2 linked regions of the Macaca mulatta genome follow. The main gene of each other region encodes a partner of the protein of the gene in region 2 in a complex. Links are inferred from orthologs where the notes say so. Each region holds a gene or a part of one and is shown on either strand. Other genes may lie near its edges.

Region 1 (4,014 bases), on a different chromosome or scaffold from region 2:
CAACCTGGCCAACATGGCGAAACCCTGTTTATACTAAAAATACAAAAATTAGCTGGGCATGGGGGTGCATGCCTGTAATTCCAGCTACTCCGGTGGCTGAGGCATGAGAATAGCTTGAACCTGGGAGGCGGAGGTTGCCAGTGAGCTGAGATTGTGCCATTGCACTCCAGCCTGGGAGACAGGGAGACTCTGCCTCAAAAATAAAAACCAAAAGTACCATAATGAATAAATCAAGTGTAAGACCTGAGGGAGACTGGAAAAGGAGTTGTGAGGGAACCATTAAAATTAAGTGAAATTTGAAAAATAATCATCACTTTGTGTTGGTGAAAGACTTACTGGCTATGTGACCAACTAAATGGGATGAAGACAGCAACTACCTCGGGGAACTGCTGTGAGGATGTGTTGGGTTAACTTATTGGAAGTGCTTTGCCCAGTGCTGTTCTAACAATTCAAAGCAGTTCCACATCCATTGGGCCAGAATAAACATTTCCTAGTTGCAGTTGCGGGGACTGGTCAAGAGAGATAAACAGGCTAACGAAGGGTTTATAACATCAAAATAATGTGATCCTCCAGTCTGAAGTATAACCCCGCCCAGACCTCAGCTGTAATAGTGGAAAAGTGCACCACCTGCGAAAGAATCAAGGCAACCTGGTGCTAGTGAACTCGGATCAATCACTTCCTATTTCTGGGTGTTAGTTTTTTATGTATAAAATATGAGTAACTATACCCACCTTGCGAGTTTAGGATGAACACCAAATGAACCAAAAGATGTGACTGTGTGTCTTAAAAACAAAAGCACTGCACCAATATTTGTCATTCGGGGAGACACCCAAACGGCCTCGGTGGTGATGATAGGGGAGCGAGCTCCTGCCACTGACCTCACTGCGGCTTTTCTCCACCCTTCCAGTCCAGTCCCAACCCCCATAAAACACGACGAGTGTAGTGGGACACAGCGCGGAGAATGCGGGGCCTGGAAACAGAGGCGGAAGGGCTCACCTGAACACACTGCTGGTAGCGCTTGAAGAGGTCGGTGCACGGGTCCCCGGAGCTGTCCCCCTTGAGAAACTTCTCGGCGAACCAGCGATTGAAGCACTGGTCGTATTCGCGCTTCATGTCCGTGCATGCCTCCCCCACACTGTTCATGGCGACAGTGGTGTCGGCGGCGGCGGCAGCGCACTCTGATGTCATCACTCTTAGGCGCGTCGCTCGGCGTTACGCGCGGGCGCACTACGGGGGCCAAGGAAGGAAGAAATGTGGTCGCGGTTGGTGTGGCTGGGCCTTCGGGCCCCTCTGGGCGGGCGCCAGGGCTTCACGTCCAAGGCGGATCCTCAGGTAAAGGCCAGGGCCATCTAGGCGGGTGGCGGAGCAAGCCGGGAGGCACACCGGGGCGCCGGTGAACCACACTCCGTGCCTCATTCCTCCTCCAGGGCAGTGGCCGGATCACGGCCCAGGTGATCGAGCACCTGGAGCGTCTAGCGCTTGTGGACTTCGGCAGCTGCGAGGCAGTGGCGCGACTGGAGAAAGCTATCGCCTTCGCCGACCGGCTACGTGCGGTGGACACTGACGGGGTGGAGCCCATGGAGTCGGTCCTGGAGGACAGGTAAACTCGAGGCTGCAGCCCCGAAGCCTTGAGCGTGGCCCGTTCGCAGCCGTTTAATGTGACGATTAGCGAACAATTTTCCAGGGGGTTAAAGAGCGTTAGCGAGATTCAGGAACTTGCCCACGGTCACCTCGCGAGTCAGTGGCTTCACTCTTCCCCTTGTTCATTACGGATGCTCTCGCTCGTGTCGTCCTAGTGTAAGTAGAAACAAAACCCAAACTGCTCATCATCGCCTTTGTGTTTTTTTTCTTGAGACGGAGTCCAGACTGGAGTGCAGTGGCGCGATCTCGTCTCACTGCAAGCTCCGCTCCCGTGTTCAAACAATTATCTTCCTCAGCCTCCCGAGTAGCTGGGATTACAGGCGCCTGACACCACGCCCGGCTAATTTTTTTTTGTATTTTTAGTAGAGACGGGGACGGGGTGTCACCGTCTTGGCCAGGCTGGTCTTGAACTCCTGACCTCGTGATCCGCCCGTCTCGGCCTCCCAAAGTGCTGGGATTATAGGCGTGAGCTACCGCGCCTGGCCTAATTATCGCCTTTGAGCCCCTACTCCATAGAGTCCCTGCCTGCTCACTCAGACATACTCTTCTCAGTACCCTCCTTGGCTACCTTGACTGCGTCTCCAGCAAGACAAGTTCTTTCCCTCTCTAGATCTTTGCACTGACCCTTCGTTTTTTCCTGCCTCTCAGTATTTGCATGGCTGCCTCCCTCTTGGCACAGGTCTCAGCTTATCTTCTGGGAAAGGGCTTTCCTAACCACTGCAAATCCCTTCTCCCCTTCTGGTTAGTAACACATCCTATTGGGTTTTTTCCTCTAACATTTTAATGGACTTTTGTTCATTTGTTATATCTCTTTTATTAAAATGTGAGCACTTTATGAGATTTGGTTCCGGTTGCATTCCTGCCTCGAATTTTTATTTTTATTTTTATTTTTTTATTTTTTTGAGACGGAGTCTCGCTCTGTCACCCAGGCTGGAGTGCGGTGGCTGGATCTCTGCTCACTGCAAGCTCCGCCTCCCGGGTTTACGCCATTCTCCTGGCTCAGCCTCCCGAGTAGCTGGGACTACAGGCGCTCGCCACCTCGCCCGGCTAGTTTTTTGTACTTTTTAGTAGAGACGGGGTTTCACCGTGTTAGCCAGGATGGTCTCGATCTCCTGACCTCGTGATCCGCCCGTCTCGGCCTCCCAAAGTGCTGGGATTACAGGCTTGAGCCACCGCGCCTGGCCTTTTATTTTTATTTTTTGAGATGGAGTCTCACTCTTATCACCCAGGTTAGAGTGCAGTGGCATGATCTCAGCTCACTGCAACCTCCACCTCCCAGGCTCAAGAGATCCTCCTACCTCAGCCTCCAAGTATAGGACCACAGGCTCATGCCACCAGGCCTGGCTAATTTTTTTTTTTTTTTTTTTTTTTTTGAGATGGAGTCTCGCTCTGTCGCCCAGGCTGGAGTGCAGTGGCCGGATCTCAGCTCACTGCAAGCTCCGCCTCCCGGGTTCATGCCATTCTCCTGCCTCAGCCTCCCCAGTAGCTGGGACTACAGGCACCCGCCACCTCGCCCGGCTAGTTTTTTTTTTGTGCTTTTTAGTAGAGATGGGGTTTCACCGTGTTTGCCAGGATGGTCTCGATTTCCTGACCTCATGATCCGCCCATCTCAGCCTCCCAAAGTGCTGGGATTACAGGCTTGAGCCACCGGGCCCGGCCGCTAATTTTTTATATTTTTTATAGAGACAGGATTTTGCCATGTTCTCCAGGCTTGACTCTTGAGCAAAGGTGATCCACCCACCTCAGCCTCCTAAAGTACTGGGATTACAGGCATGAGCCACAGCGCCTGGCCCAGTGTTTGATTCTTTCAAATCTCTTCTCTACTTTGCAATTTTCTTTTTCCTTTTGGATGGGGTCTCACTATATTGCCCAGGCTGGTCACAAACTTCTAGACTCAAGAGATCCTCCTGCCTCAGCCTCCCAAATAGCTGGGACTGTAGGTGTGCACCACCACACCTGGCTAATTCTTAAATTTTTGTAGAAACAGGGTCTTGCTATGTTGCCCCGTCTGGTGTCAAACTCCTGGTCTCAAGCAATTCTCCTGCCTCAGCCTCCCACTTCCTAAAGAAAGTCTAACTTTTTTTTCTTTTTTTTTTTGAGATGGAGTCCTGCCCTCTGCCCCATTGCCCATGCTGGAGTACAGTGGCACGATCTCGGCTTACTGCAACCTTCACCCTCCAGGTTCAAGTGATTTCTGTGCCTCAGCCTCCGGAGTAGCTGGGATTATAGGCATCCGCCACCACACTCAGCTAATTTTTGTATTTTTAGTAGAGGTGGGGTTTCACCATGTTGATCAGGCTGTTCTCGAACCCCTGGCCTCAAGTGATCTGCCCATCTTAGCCTCCCAAAATGCTGGGATTACAGGCGTGAGCC
Region 2 (3,937 bases):
GAGTCCTTCAATTTTACTTCCCATATCTATCTCAAATAGATCCATTTCTCTTTGCCTCTGCCGCCATCCTAATTAATCATCTCTCCCCTAAACAATTACTGCTCCAAAGGGCATCCACTCCATCCTTTGTCAAATGCATTCTCCACACTGCCCTACTTTATTCAACAAATATTTTTGAGGAACCTACTTTGTACTGTAGTGAGTAAGACAGACAAGGAATTTGTGGAAATAGAAGATAAGCATCAGGTAGTCAAAAGCACTATGAGGACAATCAAAGCAGGATGATGAAATAGAGAGTGCCTAAATGACTACTCTAGACTGTGTTCAAATACAAAAAATCGGTGGCAGTTTTAACAAGGGGTATTAGTTTTGATGCAGAAAAATGAAGGAAGTCCTCTGGGACGATGGTATCTGCTCCTAGCATACAATGAGTGTGTTTCTGATACTGGCCAATGATAAAAAGGAGGTTAAAATGTACACAAACATTCAATCTAGGGCTGTTTCTCTCTAAATACCTCTGCTCAAACATAGCACTTACTACCTATATGGAAGTATCTTATTTTTGTTAACTTCTGTATGTCTCCCTTCTTTAGAATGTAAGCTCCATTAACATGGGGGCCTTAACTGTCTTGATCTCTGCAGTAACTACAGTGCCTAGGAACTGAGCCTGGCGTTACGGTAGGCATGCAAATAAGTATTTGTTGCATTAACGCACAAATTGCTGAGCAAAGTAGAGGAGTAGACACAGAATATAACGGAGTAGGTTTGGGGGCTCAGGAAGTCTTTGCTGAGATGTCAAGGTCATTTACTTCCCCTTGCAAGGTTAACTGGGTTATAAAATCCCGGCAACGCTTCTTAGCTCCAAGCACCAAGTGCTCACACTCAAACTCATATATACACGCTCAGAGCCACAAGCCTCTCCAACTCCCCGCTAGGAGGAGTCACACCTCCCCACCCTGAAACCCTCCCACCCTCTCCTCTATTTCTCCTTCCCTCCCCTCTCCGCCGGGTTCCGGTAGGCTTCGAATCACCACGCTCGCCGGGAGTAGTAGTCTTCCGGTCCGAGCCTATAGCGTTTTTAATACAGTTCCAGAACTACGCTTCCCAGGGAGCCTCGCGGCACAGTGTGACTGAGTCACCTGACCAAGACCCTGGCGTTACAATGGCGGCGCCCATGCTGCGCTGGGTCGGCCGTGGAAGACTTTGGACTTTCGCCCGGGTTGACGGCGGTTCTTGCCACCGAAGAGAGGCTCCGACTGGGTCCACATCCAACTGGATTAGGGGACAGAGCTCAGTGGCTCAGCAGCCCCTCTGCATGACCCAGAAGCCGAGGAAAGGGTATTCTGTTTCATACCATTTCTGCCCACCTAACTGAGGTGGAACTGCAGGACTGGGGAAAGGATGGCAATTACAGCCCAGCTTCTAGACGTTTTGGCTGAGGGGAGGGCGTTGAGTTATAACCTGGAGCCCCGAAACCTAAATAAAAGCACAAAACAGGCCCTCTATCAGCTCCGCCCCCATATATAAACCACTATTTTCAAATAGACGTAGTTGGGGAATTCGCGAGTGTAAAATAGCAAGTATTTTCTTGAAGGCTGCACAGACAGAAGAGTGGATTCGGTCATCTTACTAATAGCACTGGCAGTGGGGACGGTGACAGGAGAAGCGGGATCATATTTAGCTGATTTTATTTAGCGCTAGTATGGGCCGGCAGTGTTCTAAAGGGAGAAAGGGAGCCTTTACCTACAAGCTCTGGAAGTGGTGGGTTATTGTCATTAGTCAGAAAACACTAGCTAGCTGTGCAGGCGTTTTATGTTGAATATGTGTGTTTAGACCTAGGAGGACGCAGCCAAAAGAAGAGGTACTCCCTCGGGTTATATAGAGAGTTTTGCTTATTTGGCCAGATTATCCCCTGAACAGCTGTTTATGCTTCATTATGTAAGAATTAAATAGTTTCTCTTTAAATACAGAAACATATGGCAAGTTTCTAATATTTTGTTTATTCTTTGAGACTGGTTGGCATTATTTTTACTTTCAGTTGGAGAAACAGAGGGAAATTGTCCTGAAAGAAGTATTCAGTTTTGTATTCTTTTCGTGAATTAGATTGTTTCCCTGTGAATGGAAAGAACATTTTTTCTCTCATGTAATGGAACTGCAAAAATACTTTGAATGATGCTTTACTGCATGCAGAATTTCTAACGAGTTCTTTCTTTAATTCACCTCCCTTGTGGGCTGTGTTTCCAAACTTTAAAAAGAAGGACTTATTCTTACAGTACTTCAGATATAGACGTTTATGTGCTGAAATTATTGAAACAAAACAAAATGATGTAAAATCTGTATATATATGTATATATATACACACACACACATATATATATACACATATACACACAAAATTGCTTGGGAGAAGAGCAGGATAGGAACATACATGGATTTCACAGGGAATAAGCACATTTATAAGGACCTGGAGAGGCCTATGTACAGACTCAACAGAGTAGGACTGGCCGGATAAGAGGGATTATTATAGCATTTAATAGCTTCTTAGATTTCATAGCAAATAAGCATGAACAAAGTAACCTGAAATTAGGTCTCAGGAATTGCAAGTGATATGGGGGACCAAAAATATGCCACATCAGATGGTTTAATATGATGGGGTTTAGCAAAATTTTTTCAAGAGTATCATTTAGTGGTGATTTATTATATCTGTGTCTCTCTGGTTATTATACTTGCAAACCGTTTTTGTGAAAGGAATTCAAAACATGGTTGCAAATTTCCTTTTTAAATAAGAAATGTGGAACTATTTATCATTATTTCTCTAGTAGTAGAATCTTGCCATTTATGTTAATTCTAAATAATGTGGGAAAGATCAGCTTTCTTCATTTACTGAGTGATTAATTGATAAGGTACAGTTAATTTGTTAAATGCTGCTTTTCACTGAAGTTAGCCAAGCAGTTGTCACCTGATACCCATTTCTACATTGTTTTAAGACACCAAATTGTTCCTTTCTCTATTGCCTTCGTGTTTATATCATCAGCCTCCCGATGCCATGTTGTAAATGAATTTTAGTTTGCCAATCTCAGTGTAGGCGCTTATTCTAAATTGGTTTTTATTTAGTCACTGATAAAATATGACATTTTTAATGTAAGGATATAACACTGTAATAAGTTTAAAACACATATAGGAAATTAACATTTGTGGTTTAGACTTACAGAAATTCATTCATGGTGACAAACATAATTACATCTTAACCATTATCTCTTTCTTCTTAGTGAACACAAATGGGCTGCTGTGGTAGGTTTGGAAATTCATGCCCAGATTTCCTCCAACTCTAAACTCTTCTCTGGATCTCAAGTTCGCTTTTCAGCACCTCCAAATTCTTTGGTTTCTTTTTTTGATGCATCTCTACCTGGAACTTTGCCGGTAAGATTTTTATTTAATCCTATTTTCATTAGAAAAATGTTTATTTTATATTGAACATGGAAAATTATTTTCTTATTTTAATAATAACACAACTGTTTGGAAATACTTCTTTAGGGAATTTTGGGTGAAGTGGGATGTATTAAATGTTTTCTAAAGACCCATCTCTGTGATGCTGTTTCTAAGTCTAAACATATTCATACACGTATTTATCACTTCACAAACATTTTAGCATGCCTACTAATATCAGATACTGTGCTATGAGCTGGGTCATAAAGATGAGCCTTGCCTTTAAGGAGTTCAAAAACTAGTAGGGGAGATGTGTCTTATAAACAAATAGAGGGCAATGTGATTCCTTCTTTGAAGGTAATATGCAGAGGATGGTTTTGAAACCCAGAAAACGGACAACTAATTCAGTAAATGAAAGGACTATTGTGAGAAATTGAGGTAGGGGTACCTTTGGTTATGGAAGTGTTACTAAAGAGGTGGTGGCCTGAGCTATTTGAGTAGCCCAGTAGAA

Evidence for each region. Proteins that work in one complex are often made in the same cells at the same time.
Region 1: GATB (region 2) and GATC share a complex: the UniProt entries of both Homo sapiens proteins name them as parts of the heterotrimeric GatCAB amidotransferase (AdT) complex. The link is inferred for Macaca mulatta from reciprocal best matches to the Homo sapiens genes GATB and GATC.

Annotation. Positions count from the first base shown.
Region 1 is NC_133416.1:127,756,479-127,760,492, forward strand, and holds the start of GATC (glutamyl-tRNA(Gln) amidotransferase subunit C, mitochondrial), read left to right. Parts: upstream 1-1,214; 5' UTR 1,215-1,251; coding exon 1,252-1,332; intron 1,333-1,427; coding exon 1,428-1,600; intron 1,601-2,712; exon of another isoform or gene 2,713-2,881; intron 2,882-4,014. Other genes in the region: TRIAP1 (TP53-regulated inhibitor of apoptosis 1), read right to left, coding at 997-1,143. UniProt on the Homo sapiens protein: Allows the formation of correctly charged Gln-tRNA(Gln) through the transamidation of misacylated Glu-tRNA(Gln) in the mitochondria. The reaction takes place in the presence of glutamine and ATP through an activated gamma-phospho-Glu-tRNA(Gln).
Region 2 is NC_133410.1:160,355,175-160,359,111, reverse strand, and holds the start of GATB (glutamyl-tRNA(Gln) amidotransferase subunit B, mitochondrial), read left to right. Parts: upstream 1-1,137; 5' UTR 1,138-1,162; coding exon 1,163-1,338; intron 1,339-3,269; coding exon 3,270-3,420; intron 3,421-3,937. UniProt on the Homo sapiens protein: Allows the formation of correctly charged Gln-tRNA(Gln) through the transamidation of misacylated Glu-tRNA(Gln) in the mitochondria. The reaction takes place in the presence of glutamine and ATP through an activated gamma-phospho-Glu-tRNA(Gln).